2 linked regions of the Caenorhabditis elegans genome follow. The protein of the gene in region 1 purifies or fractionates together with the protein of each later gene. This does not show direct contact. Each region holds a gene or a part of one and is shown on either strand. Other genes may lie near its edges. The genes, in order: Y48B6A.13 and Y54E5A.2.

What was found.
Region 2: the proteins of Y48B6A.13 (region 1) and Y54E5A.2 fractionate together in Caenorhabditis elegans (co-fractionation; one large-scale study listed by BioGRID). This does not show direct contact.

What each region holds. Positions count from the first base shown.
Region 1 is NC_003280.10:14,219,673-14,229,242, reverse strand, and holds Y48B6A.13 (Diphosphomevalonate decarboxylase), read left to right. Parts: upstream 1-2,967; 5' UTR 2,968-2,983; coding exon 2,984-3,175; intron 3,176-5,331; coding exon 5,332-5,712; intron 5,713-7,598; coding exon 7,599-7,987; intron 7,988-8,049; coding exon 8,050-8,221; 3' UTR 8,222-8,304; downstream 8,305-9,570. Other genes in the region: men-1 (Malic enzyme), read left to right, coding at 573-905, 2,515-2,652.
Region 2 is NC_003279.8:14,690,812-14,700,939, reverse strand, and holds Y54E5A.2 (Recep_L_domain domain-containing protein), read right to left. Parts: upstream 6,787-10,128; 5' UTR 6,771-6,786; coding exon 6,701-6,770; intron 6,626-6,700; coding exon 6,351-6,625; intron 5,620-6,350; coding exon 5,388-5,619; intron 4,497-5,387; coding exon 4,402-4,496; intron 4,356-4,401; coding exon 4,238-4,355; intron 3,765-4,237; coding exon 3,593-3,764; intron 3,500-3,592; coding exon 3,472-3,499; intron 2,996-3,471; coding exon 2,817-2,995; intron 2,185-2,816; coding exon 2,082-2,184; intron 2,035-2,081; coding exon 1,937-2,034; intron 1,691-1,936; coding exon 1,439-1,690; intron 955-1,438; coding exon 893-954; intron 735-892; coding exon 640-734; 3' UTR 548-639; downstream 1-547. Other genes in the region: ttm-5 (Putative sphingolipid delta(4)-desaturase/C4-monooxygenase), read left to right, coding at 9,226-9,330, 9,383-9,683, 10,124-10,128.

The sequences.
Region 1 (9,570 bases):
ATTTACCTTTTAAAAAGTGACTTTATAAATCAAAAATTAACCTTTTTTAATTGAAAATTAATATTTTCCACGGCAAAGAGAATATTTTAAATTTATTTTTCTTTAAAAAATCTGGAAAATGCCAATTTTAATTAAAAAAAAATCATTTTAAAATAATGTTTTAGTTTTTAATTTATTGAAGTCAATTTTATAATTTAAAGTTGCGTCGTTTTTTCAGATTTTTTACGGAAAAATGATTTTAAATTGAATTAAATTTTGTTTTTTAACAGAAAAATCTTTAAAAAGGTACAATTTCTTCCAATTGTAAGTTAATTTTTTCGAAGAAAATTGTGGAAAATGTCAATTTTAAAATTTATTCTTTTTAGATTTTTAGTTGAAAAAATGATTTTAGAATTTAATAAAAATTTATATTTTTCAGCTCTTTCGTGGAAAAATGATTTTAAATGGAATTAAAATTAATTTTCTATGGAAAAATTTGGAAAAATGTCAATTTTTAATCTTAAAAATCATTTTTCAATGAAAAATCTGAAAAATCAGTTATTTTTCCCTCCAAAAATACCCAATTTTTGCAGGGAGCCGTCCTCTTCGCCTCCGGATCCCCGTTCGAAAATGTCGAAATGAATGGAAAACTCTATAAGCCAGGACAGGGAAACAACGCCTACATCTTCCCGGGTGTTGCTCTCGGAGCCGTCCTCTTCCGTACCAAAAACATTCCGGACAAGCTGTTCCTTCTGGCCGCCCGTATGGTCGCCGAAGCCGTATCGGAGAAGTCGTTGAACACGTATTCACGTGTATATCCACGTCTGAAGGATATTCGAGAACTTTCGGTGAAAATTGCCGTAGAAGTTGGCGAGTATTGTTATCGACACGATTTGGCCACTTTGCACCCGAAACCCGATGATATGGTGCGGTTGTTTTTGAGTGGAAATTTGAAAAAAAAAAACGTCGGAAAATTTCGATTTTCCTGCAATTTTTAGACATTTTTTGCTGAAAAAAACATGAAAAACTGTTGAAAAATACCAAAAAAAAAAACTTTTCCCCGAAAAAAAGTGATTTTCCTCACTTTTTAATGCAAAAAATGGCCATGTGTCGATTTACGCGAATCGTGTACTCCTCGGAGAGAAAAGCAATTTTTTGAGTGGAAATTTGGAAAAAATCGGGAAAATTTCGATTTTCCTAGCATTTCAAGCTGAAAAAACATGAAAAATGGATGAAAAACATTTTTAAAAATGACAAAAAAAGACTTTTCCCCACCCGAAAAAATTGATTTTCCTCACTTTTTAATGCAAAAAATGGCCGTGTACCGATTTACGCGAGTCGTGTACTCCTCGAGGAAAAGAATAATTTTTCATGGAAAAAAGCATTTTTAGCTGAAAAACATGAAAAAATTTTGAAAAATACCTTCAAAAATGATTTTTAGACAATTTTATGCCTAAAATTGAAAAATTCTACTTATTTCTGACGATTTTTCCGAAAAAAACTGCTGAAAATATAATTTTTCACATTTTTTTTCGAATGCAAAAATATGACCGTGTGTCGATTTACGCGGTTCGTGTACTCCCCGAGGAGAATTTCCGAATTTACTATTCGAATTGCTCATTTTCATAGGTTTTTTTCCGGTGAAAGTACGATTTTTCTGGTTTCTAGTGCATTTTCAGCAGTAAATTCATTTATTTTCACTAAAAACTTTAAAAAATCAATAAATTAGGTGATTTAAATCGTTAAAAATCAAAAAATCAGCAAAAATGGACTACTTTTAGCCTAAAACGTGAATTTCCTTGCAAAAACAACGCAAACTTCTCCTCGGGGAGTACACACGAGCCGCAGATTAATCGACACTGCAAAATTCGAGTTCCTCGTAAAATTTCGCCCCTAGTCGTCTTTTTTTTGGAGTCTCTAGCTCAATTTTGAAAATTTCCGGGTTACTGTAGCCTCAGAAGTACGCAGAGCTTCGGTGTTTGCGTACTTGGCACCGGATTCTACGATATTTCGTTTAAATGAGCTGAAAATTGTTAATTAAAGTATGCTGATTCTGAATTTCGGGTTGAAAATGTCGGGAAATTTCGGGAAATTTCGGATTTTTCTGGAAATTTCAATTTTTTAAAGAGAAATTTTGCTTCTTTTTTTTTTTGGGAAATTTTAATTTTTTGAAAATTTCGATTTTTTTGACCTTGAACTTGGAAATAAAAGTGAAAAATTGATTCTAAAAATAATAGTTTCCCCTAAAAATTGTCAAAAATCTTAAAATTTTTCAAATATTTTGGAATTTTTTGAGAAATTTCAATTTTTAACCCGAAATTTCCGAAAAAAATCTCAAAAAAAAGGAAAATGAGAAGTTAAAAAACGCAATTTTCCCCTAAAAAATTGTCAAAAATTTTGGGATTTTTTGAGAATTTTTAATTAATTTTTAACTAGCAATTTCTCAAAAAATTTGTTAAAAAATTTCGTAAAATTGGTTAAAAGTTTGTGCTTTTTTTTCAGTTTTAAATTTATAAAAAATTTGAATTTTTCCAGGAAATGTTCATTCGCCAGAACCTGTACAGTGTTGAGTATGATGAGCTGATCAATAAGACTTACGAATGGCCAGCCAAGGATTCGAAACACGGTTTCCCGGTTCCAGTGTTGAGAAGAACCTCGATGGACGAGGAATAATCTTTTATTTTATCGTTTTTTTTCCCAATTTTTTTCGCATTTTTCTCTAGTCTCTCTCTCCATCTCTCTTTCCCGCGTAAATACACCCTATTTTACCTTTTTACCCCTAAAAATTCATTTTTTTTTCACAAAGTTCTTAATGTCTACGTGTATAGCATAATCCTATGGATTTTTAGATTATACAAAAATTTAATTATATAAATTTACATGTAAATTTAGCTTGTTAGGGCATTTTTCCAGTTTTTTTTTGTTCCTGTTGGATTTCCAGATTTTTGCCGCTTTTTTTGGTCACTCCGTTTTCCAGCAATTTTTCAGATTTTTTGCCACCAGAATGAGCCAAGACGATGGAGCAGCGGAGGCGGAGGCGACGGTCCGAGTTCCGATGAACATTGCACTTGTCAAGTATTGGGGAAAACGAGATGATCTACTCATTCTGCCGCTCAATGATTCGATTTCACTGACCGTGGATCGGCTGACGGCGGAGACGACAATTCGGATGGTTCCTGGAGTTGGGAAGCATACGGTAGCGCGGAATTTTGGAGCGGGAAATTTTTTTTGTTGAAAAATCTGGTTTCCATGAAAAATATCGAAAAATTTGAGAAAAAATGACTTTTTTCCCTCAAAAAATGCCATAAATATTACCCAAAAAAGCGAAGTTTGCTATTTTTGCGCAAAAAATACGGTACCCCGAGTCTCGAAACGACCGAATTTTTGTTAAATGCAAAATGCAAAGATGTGATGCGCCTTTAAAGATACTGTAGTTTCAGAATTTTTTAAAATTGATTTTTCATAGTTTTCCGCTAGGGAAAATCAATAAATTCTGATTTGAAACTACAGTACTCTTTAAAGGCACACATCTTTTGTTTTTAACAAAAAAATTTTTGTCGTGGCGAGACCCGGTAATGTATTTTTGGCGCGAAAATCGTAATTTTCGCGTCTCGGTAATATTTTTAAAAAGTGAAAAAGACAAAAATCGTAGTTTTTCATGAATTTGAATATTAAAAAACCATTTTTTTTAATAAAAAAAAAAATTAAAATTCGATTTTTTTTTGAAACAAACCTTAAAAAATTCAAAATTTAATATTTTCTTTAAAAAGCAAAATTTTTAAATTTTGTATTATACTGAAATTCTTTTTTTAAAAATTTTTTCCCGAAATTTAAAATTTTTAATTCAGGTTTCGCGGAAAATCACGCAATAATTTTTCCTAAAATTGCAAAAAAAAATCAAAAAATAAAAAATTTCAGCTTGAAAATAATTTTGTCGAAAATATATTTTTCAAAAACAAACCCTTATTTTAAAGAATTATAGATCAAGAGTCATTGGAAAATCAGAATTTCAGAGTTTTTTCTGTGACTTTCATTATTTTAAGTTTGAAAATATCGAAAATATTGTAAAAATCAAATATTCTAATAGAAAAAGTTATTTTTTAAAAAAACTCAAATTAATTTAAATTCCTGAAAAAAATTGAAATTATCCCAATTTTTTACATTTTTATTCGAGAACCCAAAGCATAATATTTTTCTCGGAATTTTAGAAAAAAGTCTAAAAATTAAAATTTTTACAAAATTAATTTTTTTGAAAAATGTGAAAAAATTTAAAGGTGGTGTAGTCGAATTTTTTAGTGCTTTGTTAGACTCAAAATTGTCTGAAAACACCGAATTTCATAATGAAACTTTTTGAAATCTTTTCAGAAAAAAGTTATGACGGCTCAAAAAATAGCTTAAAGTTAGTTAAAATCGGAAATTGTCTGGAAACTTACTTTTTTGAAATCGCCGTAAAATTTGAAGTATACAAGTTGATTACCTTGCGTTTTAAACTTGGTTAAGGTATTTAAAAATCGATGGACGGCGATGGATTTTCAATTTATTTGAGCCAAAACTCGCCGTCCATCGACTTTAAAATACCTTAATGAAGTTTAAAACGCGAGATAATCAACTTGTACACTTCAAATTTTACGGTGATTTCAAAAAAAAACTGTGTCCAGCCGCTGACAAGTCAAGTTTCCGATTTTAACTAACTTTAAGCCATTTTTTGAGCCGTCATAACTTTTTTCTGAAAAGATTTCAAGAAGTTTCATTATGAAATTCGGTGTTTTCAGACAATTTTGAGTCTAACAAAGCACTAAAAAAATTCGACTACACCACCTTTAAATGTTTTCACATTTTTCAAAAAAATTAATTTTGTAAAAATTTTAATTTTTAGACTTTTTTCTAAAATTCCGAGAAAAATATTATGCTTTGGGTTCTCGAATAAAAATGTAAAAAATTGGGATAATTTCAATTTTTTTCAGGAATTTAAATTAATTTGAGTTTTTTTTTTAAACAACTTTTTCTATTAGAATATTTGATTTTTCCAATATTTTCGATATTTTCAAATTTAAAATAATGAAAATCACAGAAAAAACTCTGAAATTCCAGATTTTCCACTGACTCTTGATCTATAATTCTTTAAAATAAGGGTTTGTTTTTGAAAAATATATTTTCGACATTTCGGAAGTAAAATTATTAAATTATTTTCAAGCTGAAATTTTTTATTTTTTGAATTTTTTTTGCAATTTTAGGAAAAATTATTGCGTGATTTTCCGCGGAACCTGAATTAAAAATTTTAAATTTTTCACTGATTTCTCAAAATAGCCACAAAAAACTCTTCAGAAAATTCCTAAATTCTCCATTTTCCAGGTAGAAATAAATGGAAAATCAGTGGAACTGAGCTCCAACAAACGATACCAAACAGTCTTCGATGAGGCTCTCCGACTTCAGAGGAAACGAAAAGAAGCAGAAGCATCATCGGCGGATTCAAATGGAAATGATCCTCCGCCGATCTTCTACCATTTCCACGTCACCTCGACTACGAATTTTCCGGTTGCAGCTGGGCTGGCATCCTCGGCCGCCGGATTTGCTGCAATTGCATTGGCAATTCAACGGATTCTACGACTAGATGATTCTCAAGCGAATCGGCTCGCAAGAATTGGATCAGGAAGTGCCTGCCGGAGCATGTATGGAGGATTGGTGCATTGGAGGAAAGGGGAGATGGATGATGGATCGGATTGTTTGGCTGTGGTACGGGAAGTCGAGAAAATTCAGTGGAAATTGGAATTTTTGGAGCAAAAAATCGAGATTTTGGCACTTTTTTTACTCTACAATGACAAAAAAAGCTCTAAAAATCACACTGCAACTTTTTCCTCACGAGGGACGAGGAAAAGTGGTTTCTAGGCCATGGCCGAGGGGCCGACAAATTTCAGCGGTCATTAATCTTGCTTTGTTTTCCGCCTGTTTTCTTTTGTTTTTCACAGATTTTTCCCGTTTTTTCTTATTAAAACTGATAAATAAATACTTTTTGCAGATGCTAAAACATTTTCCAAGTAAAAAAATTATGTATTCAGTGGGCAAGCAGCGGTGAAAGTGGTCAATGCAATATGATGGATTACGGGAATACAAAACCTAAACTTTTTCTGAAACATGATACATGTGCTGCTTAAATGCTGAGACTACCTGATTTTCATAACGAGACCGCTGAAAAAGTTTTGAGGTTTTTAAAATTCAACTTTTTGTGCGAAAATCTCGACTTTTTCACCAAAAAAGTTGAATTTTGGAAACCTCAAAACTTTTTCAGCGGTCTCGTTATGAAAATCAGGTAGTCTCAGCATTTAAGCAGCATATGTATCATGTTTCAGAAAAAGTTTAGGTTTTGTATTCCCGTAATCCATAATTTTACATTGCCCACTTTCACCGCTGCTTGCCCACTGAATACACTTTTTTTTACTTGGAAATTGTTTTAGCATCTGCAAAATTATTTATTTATCAGTTTTATTAAGAAAAAACGAAAAAAATCGATGAAAAACGAAAGAAAACAAGCGGAAAACAATACAAGATAAATGGCCGCTGAAACTTGTCGGCCCCTCGGCCATGGCCTAGAAACCACTTTTCCTCGTCCCTCGTGAGGAAAAAGTTGCAGTGATCAGGATTTTTTTCCGTTTTTTTTATTTCAGAAATTTTTTTACAAAAACTTTTTTTTTTTTGATTTTCCGTAAAATCAAAAATTGGAAAATTTCCACATTTTTAGTCATTTTCTGAGAAAAAAAAAAGAAAAATTGTTCACTTTTTCAGAATTTTTCGTCTGAAAACTCAATTTAAGTGAAAAAGGTCATATATTAGAAAATAAAAACCGAGCACAAAGCGGAAACAATCAAAAATTTGAAAATTTTCCCAAAAATGAGAAAAAACCAAAACAGAGCAGACGAAGAGTTATACAAATACTCGAAAATTGAAAAAAAATCAATTCCAGCCGCCAAATTAAATCGGTGGCCGAGGCTTTTTCAATGGTTTTGATTTTTTTAAGGGAACTTATTACAGGAACACTAAATTCTGAGAATGCGTATTAGGCAACATATTCGACGCGCAAAATATCTCGTGGCGAAAACTACAGTAACTCTCTAAATGACTGTCGATTTACGGGCTCGATTTTCGAAACGAATTTCTGTTCGAAAGCCCGTAAATCGACACAAGCTCTACAGTAGTCATTTAAAGAGTTACTGTAGTTTTCGCTACGAGATATTTTGAGCGTCAAATATGTTGTGCAATACGCATTCTTAGAGTTCAGTGTACTCGTATTAAGTTTCCTTTAAAAAATCAACCATTGGAAAAACTTCGGCCACCGATTTAATTTGGCGGCCAGAAATGGTTTTTTTAATTAATTTTCGAAAAATTTTATAACTCTTCATCACCTCTGGTTTTAAAAAATAATAATTTTTCTGAAAAATGTAGAGATTATAACTGAATTAATGAATTTTCAGATAATAAAACCCTGGAAAAGTGAAAAAAGTTTCGATTTTTTTCTCAAAAAATAACTAAAAATTTGAAAAATTTGTATATTTCGATTTTACGGAAAATTAAAAATAAATCAATTAAAAAAATTAAATTTAAAAAAATAAAAACTATATTTCCAGAGAACAGAAGCCGCCGCCAACTGGGAAGATCTCTACTGCATAATTCTAGTCTTCGACGATGGCCGCAAAAAAGTGGGCTCCAGTGAAGGAATGCGAAGATCACGAGAAACATCTCAACTTCTCAAGCATCGCATTGAATCGATAGTTCCTCAACGAATCCAACAAATCCAGGAAGCGTATACTTCACGGAATTTCGAGCAGCTCGCACGCGTCATCATGGCCGATAGCAATCAATTCCACGCGGTTTGCATGGATTCTACGCCGCCAATTCGGTATTTGAATGAAGCATCGTGGCAGTTAATCGACACAGTTGAAGAGTTTAATATTGGAGGAATTCGAGCTGCTTATACATTTGACGCCGGTCCGAATGCGTGTGTTATTGTGCAAAAGTAGGTGGTGGAAAAAATTGATTTTTGAGGAAAAATATTAAAAACAAATATTTTTTTTTCAGAGAAAATGCGTCTCAATTCCTGAAAGCTGTGCTCCAAACTATCCAAGTCCCTTCAGAAGATCTACAAGTCATTGGAAAAGAGCTCGCCGAGCAATTTGACGTCCCAGCGGAGCCGACGACGAAATGCTCCAAATTAATTATGAGCCCAATGGGTGGCGGGCCTCAGGAATAGGAATCTTTTATAATTATTGTTGTTCTTGTTGAATTTTTATTGTTTTTTAAATATAGATAGAATATATGAATTAATTTGATATTTAATATTTGTTGATAAATATACAAAAAAAAATATAAAAAACAATTCTGAAAAAAATAAATAAAAACTCTACGAATTTTCAGAGATCGGAGCGGCTCAACAACTGGAGCAATTTCGAAAATATAATGTTCGTAATTATTTCTAAGTTTGTGTTGTCTCAGAGCCATGTCTGAAAAAACAGATTTTTTTTCGAAAATTTTAAAAAGTTCGTAGAAATTGGATTTTTGACAAATCTATGCTCTCTTTTTTTGTTTGAAATTTAGTTCAGTGACATACAATTTCAAAAATATAATGTTCGTAATTATTTATAAGTTTGTGTTGTCTCAGAGCCATGTCTGAAAATTTTAAAAAGCTCGGAGAAAAAAATTTTTTTGTTTGAAATTAATTCGATTTTGAACATTTCTACTATCTTTTTTTTAAAACATGTATTTCAGTGAATAGAAGACTCAAAATTATAATGCTCGTAATTATTTATAAGTGTGTGTTGTCTCAGAATCAATTCTAAAAAACAGATTTTTTTCGAAAGTTTAAGTTATATCCGCGGAAAAAATTCAATTTAGGACATTTCTATTATCTTCATTAAAATGGATAATATTAAAATGAGGGGAAATAATACACAAGTACCAAAATTGAGAACATATAAAATCAGGTATTTATTGCCATTATTGCACGCCATATTTGACGCGCAAAATATCTCGTAGCGAAAACTACGGTAGCGTCGATTTACGGGATCGAATGGATTAAAATAATTTTTTTATCGATAGAATATTGATAATTGAATAATTTTAAATTTGATTAACTAAATTTTAATTCAGAAAACTGTTGAATTTTTCGATTTTCAAAATTTTCTAAATTGCGCTACAGTAATCATTTAAAGAGTTACTGTAATTTTCGCTACGAGATATTTTGCGCGTCAAATATGTTGTGCAATACGCATTCTTCAAATTTTGTGTTCCCGTAATAGATTTTTTGGCGTTCACAATTGATTATTACGTATCCATGATTTGATGAGAACGCCAGCTCTCTCTTCTCCACACGCTCTCTCACCATAGGCGTTTTGCATAGGCGTTAGACAGCGTGCGAGAAAAAGAGACGCAGGTGCTTTTTGCGCGTAAAATATGGCGATTTTTCTCACTCGCATATGGATACGTGATACACGAACTTAAAATAAGTTTTACTTCTCTTGGAAGAGTTAATGGCCATGGTGATCGTGGCTGGGTGGTGGTGGGTAGTTGGTATTCATTTGGTGCCGGATTCTGGAAATATGC
Region 2 (10,128 bases), on another chromosome or scaffold:
GGCTTACTTTAGTTGTTTTGTATGATTACTGCAGGCTAAAAATTGACCTTTTTCAGAATATAGTAGTTTTGAACATTTTCAGGAAAATTATTTTTTTGCCCAAAATAAAAAAAAAGGACAGTCATTAGAAAATTTGGGCAAAAATAAAAAGTTGTCTAAATTTGTTGAAAACGGGTAATTCATACATGCAAAATTCAGAAAATCTAGGTTTAGTCCGTCAAAAACTATTAAAAAGTGGCAAAAATGGCCAATTTATGGCAAAAATTCACAATTTTGAAACTTCACTAAAACGGGCAATTTTGTAGTTAGAGGACTCAAAATTGATTTAGGATCACTAAAAAATTGCCCTTTTTCAGAATATAGTAGTTTTAAACATTTTCAAGACAATTATTTTTTTGCCCAAAATAAAAAAAAGGACAGTCATTAGATGGCTGAAAAAAATTTTGGCAAAAATAAAAAGTTGTCTAAATTTGTTGAAAACGGGTAATTCATACACGCTGAATTCAGAAAATCTAGGTTTAACCCGTCAAAAACTATTGAAAAATGCCAAAAATGAGTCATTTATAGTAAAAATCAAAAATTTTGAAACACCATAAATTCATCATTTATTTATAAAATCCGAGTTCTCTCGACAATGTACTAGTGTGAATTAACTGATTTAAGAGTTTTCTCCAAACGCCGTGTCTTCTCTCTGTGCATTAAAATGACGGCAGTGACGAGAAGCAGGAAGAATGCTGAAAATGTTTTATTATTTTTGAGCTGATTCTTTTTTTTTGAAATTCAGCATTTTACTTTCATTAGACGCGATAAGTTTTCAGAAGTATTAAATTATTGGAATTTTTTGTTGTAAATTCTCACTATTTCAATTTTAATTTTCTTCAAAAACTCTTACCAGCAATTGCCAGCGCCCAATAGAATACAGTATTTTGTATTGCAGAAACCTTCTCGTCAACTCTGAAAGTTCGAAATTTGTTATCAAATATATATTCCCCAAAATTCCAAATTCCATGAAAAGCCTCAAAAAATTCTGTAAAATCGATATTTCTGAAATATCCCGAAAATTCTAAAATCAAAAATTTTTTTTAAAAATCGCATTTTTTTGAATTTTTAAACCTTAAAAAAATTTGAAATTTTTCCGACGTTTTTTCGGACGTTTTTCAACTTTTTTTTTAACTATTCAGACTTTTCCAAAAATTATTTGGCAATAAATCAAACTCCAGGAAATTCTGGAAAATCGATAAAATTCCATTATTTTCAAAAAAAACATTAATTTCCCAGAATTTTCCCAACTAGTAGCAATTTTCGAAAAATTCTGAAAATTGAAAAAAATCGAAATTGTTAAATGTTATAAAAAGTTTCAGGGAAAATTGGAAACATTTGAAAATTGAAAATCTGAAAAAGAAAATCTGAAAAATTCCCAAAAAATTTCCAAACTCACTTTAAATTATGAAAAGTGATTCGAACCTTCTTCCGTTCCTTCGCCAAAATCAAATCAATTTTCATGTGCCACGTGGAAAAGTCAAGAATGAGTAGCTCGCCGCCACGTTGCACGGTTCCCTGCAGCAGACACGGGCGGTTCTTATCGTATTTTTTGGGTTTTCGAAGATCAATTCTCCATTTGGCGGACGTGGTTCGCATATCGTGAACTTCTGAATCCATTCGGATACGGAGATGTTGGTGGGCTCCGACGCTGAAAAATCGATAATTTTGCTCCTGATGATGTAAAAGCGCTCTATCGAACAAGTAGGCATTTTTGTGGAATCGATAATAAAAAATCGATATTGTTAATATCGATTGTTCCAGAAAATTTTGCGATAGAGCACAATTGCATCCGATTGACAATAATTTCCTAATCAAATTTAAACATGATCGAGTCCTTATCAATGTCTCCCATTTTGCAATTGCGCTCTACTGAACTAAGGAAGCAAAAACCCACGTCACTTTCATATTATCCATTCCAACGAGCACATCGATAAATTGCACTTGCTGACACGAATCGGAAACTTGCTCCTCGGATTCCACGTGGACGTCTTCCTAAACGTAGGTATGCCTACATGCCTGCCTGTCTACACTGAACTTACCATCGAAATATTGTGGCACTTGGCCCACTCGTAGCAATTCGTCTTTTGAATATTCGACTTGCAGGACTCTAATTCGATGAACATTCCAGACGTGAATTTGTGCCTGGAAACAGCAGTCGTATCAAAAAAACTGTTAATTGCCAAAATGTAGAGAATTCGATTTCCTATATTTTGTCCATTTACAAAATTTCATTAGCTTTGCTTTCCGCAGAGTTATAAGCGTTTTAAGTTTGCAAGGTAAGTGAGAGAGTGTGTGGCGAGGGGAGAGCGCAGACACCGCAGAAACTTTAAAGCGGTGTATCTCAAAATTGAAAAATGCTCAGAATTTCATGCTCTACAAGATGGGCGAAAAAGATTTTGAAACTTTGGAAAAAAAAAAGTTTTTTAGCATTTTTGAGAAAAATTTCAGCGGGCTTTATCTCGGTGGTAATAGGAGCTACATAAAAGTTGTCAACTAACAATTTGTAGAAAATTTTATGTAGTTTATTTTATTAATTAAAACAAATATTCTGCCTCCCACCCACGCAAAAATACACCTGTTTTTATGATTTCTGTAGCTCCGAATCCGTAAGAGCTACAGAAAACTTGTCAACTAGAAATTTCAAGCAAATTTAAAGTAGTTAAGTTGATTAATTGATACTTTCTTCGTATCTCATTTTTGCGCAAAGATATGGGGGTTTTAAAGAAGCTTTTAACCACCTCCCCTCAAAACCTAAAAATTCCCTTTCAACTTACCCAGCAGCCTTGTTAGCTACAATGAACTTTGGCACCAAATCACTTCGGATATCTCTTAAAATATCCTCAAGCACAATTCTTTTCAACAATGACGAGAACAATGGAATTCCCTGATGAGCATACGGAGGGATTGAGAGCAGTCTGTGAAGTTGGTTCAGTGACTCGCTGGGTTGGTTGGGCTGGAAATTGAAATGGTGAGAGGTGATGGGAATTGTAAAACGAACACTTTGTAGAGAATTTAATTTTCTACAAGTTGCTATCATAGATAACAACTTTTTGATATCAAGTATCTGAACGGGATTAGACAGGTTTTGGGCTAGTCTTCTGGGGGAAGTGAAGCGCTATCTCAAAACTCCTATAACTCGGAGAATTTTGTAGGTGCCAAAAAGTAGTTAACTAAAAGTAGTTAATTCTATAAAGAATCTAATTTGCTACATTTTGCTAGCTAACAATACTTTGAGATCTTACATCTGAACGGAGCTAGAAAGCTTTCGAACTATCTTGGAGGAACTCCTGTATCTCCGCAAAGTTACCTAGCTATCAAAAAGTTGGTAATCTGTAGAGAAATTAATTTCCTACAACTTGTCAGTTGATAACTATTTGGTAGCTTGTACTATTACAAAGCTACAGCCACTTCAAATAACTTCCATCTTACCTGCGCTTCCTTTTCCATTTTCCACTTCCTAATCGACAAATGCCCAACTCGGGTGCGAGCGGAATATTGATTTTCATTGAAAATTTTAAATATGTACTAAAAATAAGAGGTGAAAACTGACCAATCACTAGCAGTCTCATAATCATGTCCACAGATTGAGGTGGGACAGCAGCACGCCGAACAGCAACCCCAATCATCCCAGGAGATGAACAATTGAATATTGTTCTTAGTGTCGTTCACAGAGTTTATTGAAATTTCCAGAGACTCGTAGTTTTCGTAGGTGAAGATTTTATCTGAAACTGTATTTTCAATGGAATTCTCTATATTTTGTCATCTGTCAACTAATTGCCAGAATTTTGATATCTTCCTGATAAATTAAAATGAAAGGGTTGTTAACTAGGGATCCATAAAGAACGTTATATGGATTTTGGAATTTCTGAGTTTTTTCCTTAAAAAATGATCACACGAAAAAGTTGCCAACTAACAAAATATGCTCATTAAAATTCTATACATTTCGGCAGTTGACAACTCTTTGATAGCATTCCTCTGCGCAAAGTTACAAGCTTTCAAAGTTTTCCCAATGCGAGAGTGTAGAGGAGAAGGAGAGCGCTGGCAGTGTCTGCACTCTCCCCCTCCTCCGCGCTCTCTCGCTAATAAAACTTCAAAGCGGGGTATATCTCGGCGGGGAGTAGAGATAGAGAAATCATGGAAAACGAAGAAAGAATCAGAATTTGAATTTCTATACGATAAAGTCAATAAAGCTTACCATTCTGCTCTCCGTCCCCAATAATATCCTCATTCACAAAGTTATAGCTGCTCACAATTTTACCATTCAACTCAATTCCACACATTGTAGTAAATCCTTCAATTTTTCGAGAATGAATCTGTAAATTTTTGAGTTTTTCAGAGAGTAAAGTCCTGGAAACCAACCGCCAGCTCTCCATTGGGGAGCCCTATAGCTTCTCTGTCGGTTTCAGTGGCTCCATGCTCTCCACTCCATCTTGTCACCTTTCCAAAATGCAGGTCTGTGGAAGGTGTAGTTTGGCAAAAGATATAAAAAGGAAAACGGCGTCACAGGGACTGGAATCAAAAATGTGCTCACAATAATTTTCAGTTAATTTGGCTCAATTTCGGGATGATTTACAGATATAAGCTAGTTCTAGATAAACTATACAAGCTTCAAAAGTACTAAGCTTAGGGTTTTTAATGGTACTACATTATTTTAAGTATGATGAAGCTATTGTTTATGGTGCATGATTTGTGGATTTTTAAGCAAAATAGCCTGTAAAATTTTGTAAAGAAAGCTCCATCGGCTGCTCAGATACGAGCTTAAACACCAAGTGGCACCAAAAAACTTGCTAAAAGCCATTTACAACTTAAAAAAATAGCCCGCTCAGTAGCTTCATGTCGGGCTTAAAGGTCATAAAAAGTTGAAAATCAAGCTTTTGCAGGTTTCCAGTTATTTCGATGATATGAAAAACAAAAATTACACCACCAAATTACTACATTAAATGTATTTTTGAAACTGAAAAATTTTATGCTTCTTGAAAAAATGAGAATTTTCGGCGAAATTGTCGAAAATCGCAGGGGGGGGGTCCCATAGCAGTTGGGCGGTCGATTTTTCAACTTTTTGCTCTTTTGCACTCAACTTTTGAGATATCATGATAAAATTATAGATCCATAGGTTTTTTGGTATGCTGATTCCAATTCCAATACTAGTTTTCTATAAAAAAGTAGCTGTTGGGTGCACTGTACCTACTAAGCACCTTAGGAGTACCCTTGAGAGATAATGAAGGCTTGTGATATGTATGCTATGCTTAACTAGACTCATTGAATTCAGAAATAAATTTCTGATACTTTGAGGGTAATTTCAGCTAGTTCGTCTAATTTTCAGCCAAGTTAAATAATACACTCACTATTAATTCTCAAGTAATCCTGAAAATTCGAGACACGTGGCTCCTGTTCACAATCCTCCCGACTACAATAGTGCAATAAATTATTGATTTTTCGAGAGCCGATCGTCAATTTCGTGAAAATCTGAGTGAAATCACGTTCCGGGAATACGTAGTACATTTGATGGAGACCTTCAATTATCGGATGACACGTGGCACATTGCGGTTGGTACGGGAGGCCCGCTTCGCGAGTTTTCTGCAAAATAACGTTGATTTTGATGCAGGGGCAGCGTTTTCTGGAGAATTTAAATATCGGGGGAAGGCGATCTCAAAAAAAAAGGGGCGGGAAAAACAATTGAAAATTTACGCTCCGCCCCTATAACAGGTCTAAATTTTGAACTTTTACACTCAAATCTACAAAATTTTATAGAAAAAAAACGGTTTTTTTCATGTGAATAAGCCCGCAAAAGATAATAAAACACGTGGTCAGAGTGTCCCATTTCGGTGTGATCTTCAAAAAATGCGGGAATTGAGTCGCAGATTTCTCAACAAATTTTGTAAGTGTGCTGGCGACACATTTTACTGGGCAAAAAATTTCCGCATTTTATTGTAGATCATTCAAATTTACGCTACGCCTCTATAACATGTCTAAATTTTGAACTTTAACACTAAAATCTACAAAACTTTATGGAAAACGCCTGACACCACGTGTAAAAGTGCGCTTCACCAAATTTATTTTAATCATTTTTTTTTCTCTTTTGCTCATGAAATGAATTTGCTCACTAGAAACATATAAAATCTAGCAGAAAAACAGCTGCATTTGTCTATGATCTTAAAAATTGATTAAAACTGGTCTTGGCACGATTCGCGAGTGTGCAAACGCGCTCCACCGAACTTTTGCCGTTTTTATAGATTTTTAGGCCCGAAAAGCTAAAATTCAACAATATTATATAAAAATTATCGAATAAATAGAAAAAAAAATTAAACCTGAAAAATGCGAAATCCAATATTAAAGAACCCGTTAGAATCACACAATTCCTTTGATATATGAGGAATTCGAAACGCCGGATTCGATATAAAATATGGTAATTTGTGATAAATCGTCTGATTCCCATTTAACCATCCCAGTGAGTCGAATTCCAAGATTTTTCCGTCGAATAGTATATTGTTGTACTTGTGAACGTTCAGGTAATTCTCAAATCTCCACGTGTCTTTTGATAATGGAATTGAGGAGTACAGGGAGTAGAGTTCCGCTCGTCTTTCTGAAAAAAAAACAGTAGATTTGAGACTTTGCAGAAAGGGGCTGCAAACGCGCTCCAGCGAAGAGGTCTCCTTACCAAACTCGATAACAATTCCATGCACTGTCGAAAAAAGCATAAGTTTCAGAAAATTGAACAACAAAACCATGGTTGGTTTGGAGAAATGAAGCAGATTGATTTTTCAATGGATTTAAAAAGTTTTTACGTGATAAATTATTTTTAAAAACATATTTTTTAAATAAATCGTATCGAAAATTTAATTAAAAATTAAATATACCCCGTGAAATTCTCTACATTTTGTTAGTTAAACACTTTTTGATAGCATTTCTCTGCGTGAAGTTGTGAGCGTTTGAAGTTTTTTGGGGTGAGAGAGTGTGGGGGAGGGCGAGAGTGCAGAGAGATATACTGCCTGCACTCTCCTCTCCCTCCACGCTCTCAACACCGAAACTTAGAAGAGGTGTATCTTTGCAGAGAGGAAAGATACAAAAATATTGTAAAAAGGAAAAATGTTCAGAATTTGATTCTCTATATATTGCAATAAAAACAAATTGTTCGGAGTTTTTTTTAGTTTCTTGTTTTTTTTTCCTGAAATTCAAACTAAAAAGTGTATTTGAGCAGTGTTTTGCTCTACAAAGATATTCTGCATTTATTGGGTAAGAGCCAAAAGTGCCATATCTAACCGGAAGCTTATTCTACCAAATTTTACTTAACTAACAAAATATACGCCTTGAAATTCTGTACATTTTTGCAATTTACAATATTTTAATTGCACTCCTCTGCTCAAAGTGACAGGCGTTTTAAGATTGGCGGGTGAGAGAGCGCGAGGGAGGGGGAGAGTGCAGACACTGCCTGCGCTCTCCCCCTCCCCCACACTCTCTCACCCGCCAAAACTTCAGCGTGGTGTAACTCGGCGGGTAGGAAAGATAGAGAGGTAGTGTAAAAGACAAGAATGTGTAGAATTGGATTTTCTACTGGATAACGTTTTGAGTTTTAGCATTTATGAAATTTATGAAAAATGAATGTTTGAATTTGAATTTTCAATTTTTAGTTTTCCAAATGATATTTCATAATGTTTCCGTCTAGTTTTCATTATCAATTTCCCTATACTCTACTGTCTGAAACTGTTTGTTTTACCACGAAAATGACCAATACCTAGTGAATCATTGGAAAAAAAGAGCATCGCTTCCCTCTCCCGTCTCGCTCTCAAAACACACACACACACAGTTCCTTCCTTTCTATTTGCATGTATAGTTGCATTCTCTACGCAATAAGTCCACCTTTCCGTATGTGTGTGCTCCAAGAGCAACGGAAACTGGATTCAGGTGGTTGCTAACCAACCAATTTCCCCCTCTGGCTTTTCATCCTATAAGGTTTCCAATTTATCACTTTTTGTCTCAGAGAGCATATGTGCCTTTGAATTTATTGAAAAATATAAATTTTTAGTTTGAAAATGTGCAACCTTTGCTAGATGTTTTGCTTTAAAAAGCACTCGCGCTATTTTTTACTTGTTTGTGCGTGGTTTTACGAATTTTTAACTAAATATTTCTTAAGCCCCCTATATCTTCCTGAAAAATGAAGATATCAAAATTTTCTCAGCCAACAAAATATTCTCCTCAAAATTCTCTACATTTTTGCAGTTATCATTGTTTCTCTACCTCTTTTTTCCACAGAGTTACACGCGTTTCAAATTCGACGGGGTGAGAAAGTGTGGGGGAGGGGAGTGCGCAGACACTGCGCTCTCTCCCTCTTCCACACTCTCTCGCCTTCAAAACTTTGAAGCGGTGTATCTCTGCAAGTAAGATAGGTAGAAGCATACTGTAAAAGCAAAATTGTGTAGAATTAGATTTTCTAAAAGATTGTAAAGTTTTGGAAATTTTTTTTTTTTTAATTAAATGTTTTTTTTTTCAAAATTTTCAAAAAGTTACACCACTTCTCAATGTAACTCAATTCCAAATTCCTCTTCAAGTCTATCCAAAGATCATATTGTACCTGGATTGGAATGTCTCTATAGTCCCTGCGCACTCTTTGCTCTCAAGAACAAATACATCACTACGTGTGCCTTATAGTCTGTTTCTCTGCTGCTCTCCTGCTCTCTCCTTTCCTGATTCATCATATTCGTGTTCTTATCATTTTTAAGACGTGATCTTATCACACAAAAACTGCCCATTTTAATGTGTTCCGAAAGAAAAATAACCGCCCATTGATTTTCTTTTTGTGCAGGAATTTGTAGAGGTGATTTACACGGTTTTTTTTAATTTTTATTACTGGAATTTTGAATTTAAATGGTTTTTTTTGTCAAAATTTAGTTATTATTAGTTTTTGAAAATTTAACAAAATCAAACCCCCAAAAAAATCATTTCACAAAATTTGTTTCAAAATTTTCAGAATTCAATTCACTCCTCTTGTAGAAAATCCAATTCTACACAATTTTTCCTTTTACAGTGTTTTTCTATCTTTCCTACCTGCCGGGATACATCTCTTCAAAGTTTCTTTAGCGAGAGAGCGTGGGGGTGGGGGAGAGCGCAGGCAGTGTCTGCACTCTCCCCCTCACCGCGCTCTCTATTTAAAATTTCTACTTTTCAGATCTCAAAACTGCTCTTAAAATGGGGCAATCAGTGAGTCGAGATGATTTTATTTGGACGTTAACAGAGCAGCCACATATGAGTAGACGAGAGGAAATTGTGAAAAAGTACCCAGAAGTTAAAAAGGTGAGTTTATATTTTAAAACGTATGAGCATTTTCTGAAACTGAAAATTTTAGCTATTCGGCGTTGATCCATCTCTAAAATACGTGGTGTCTAGTTTGGTAATATTTCAAATTTTTATGTGTTGGTTATTACAAGATGCTGATTGGATATTAATAATACTTGAAGCCTACTTTTGCGGTGGAATAATCAATCACGCAATGACACTTGCCATCCATGATATTTCACATAATACGGCTTTTGGTAATAAGTACCCATTGAAAAATCGATTTTTCGGAATGTGGGCAAATTTGCCGATTGCTGTGCCGATATCAGTGTCTTTTAAGAAGTATCATGTGGAGCATCATCGATATTTGGGTAAGTCCATTGTGTAAAAAATAAAATTCTGGACTTTTTTGCCTCTTACTGTAATTTTCTATCTTACCTCCTCGCCGAGATAAACCTCTTTGAAGTTTTGGCGGTGAGAGAGTGTGGGGGAGGAGGAGAGCGCAGGCAGTATCTGCACTCTCCCCCTCCTCCGCGCTCTCTCATCCTGGCAAACTTAGAACGCCTGTAACTTTGCGCAGAGGAACGCAATTAAAATATTGTGAATTGCAAAAATGTAGAAAATTTCAAGAAGAATATTTCTACGGTAACATCAATTTAATAAATTTACTGACAACCCCGGCCTAAAGAGAAATGACCCGTAACTCCAAAACTACTAACGCTATAAAAAAGTTGTAAACTGACAACACCATCCAAATTTACTCAATTTTCTGATTCTTGTCATGTTATTTGAATAAAATGCTTATTTACAGGAGAA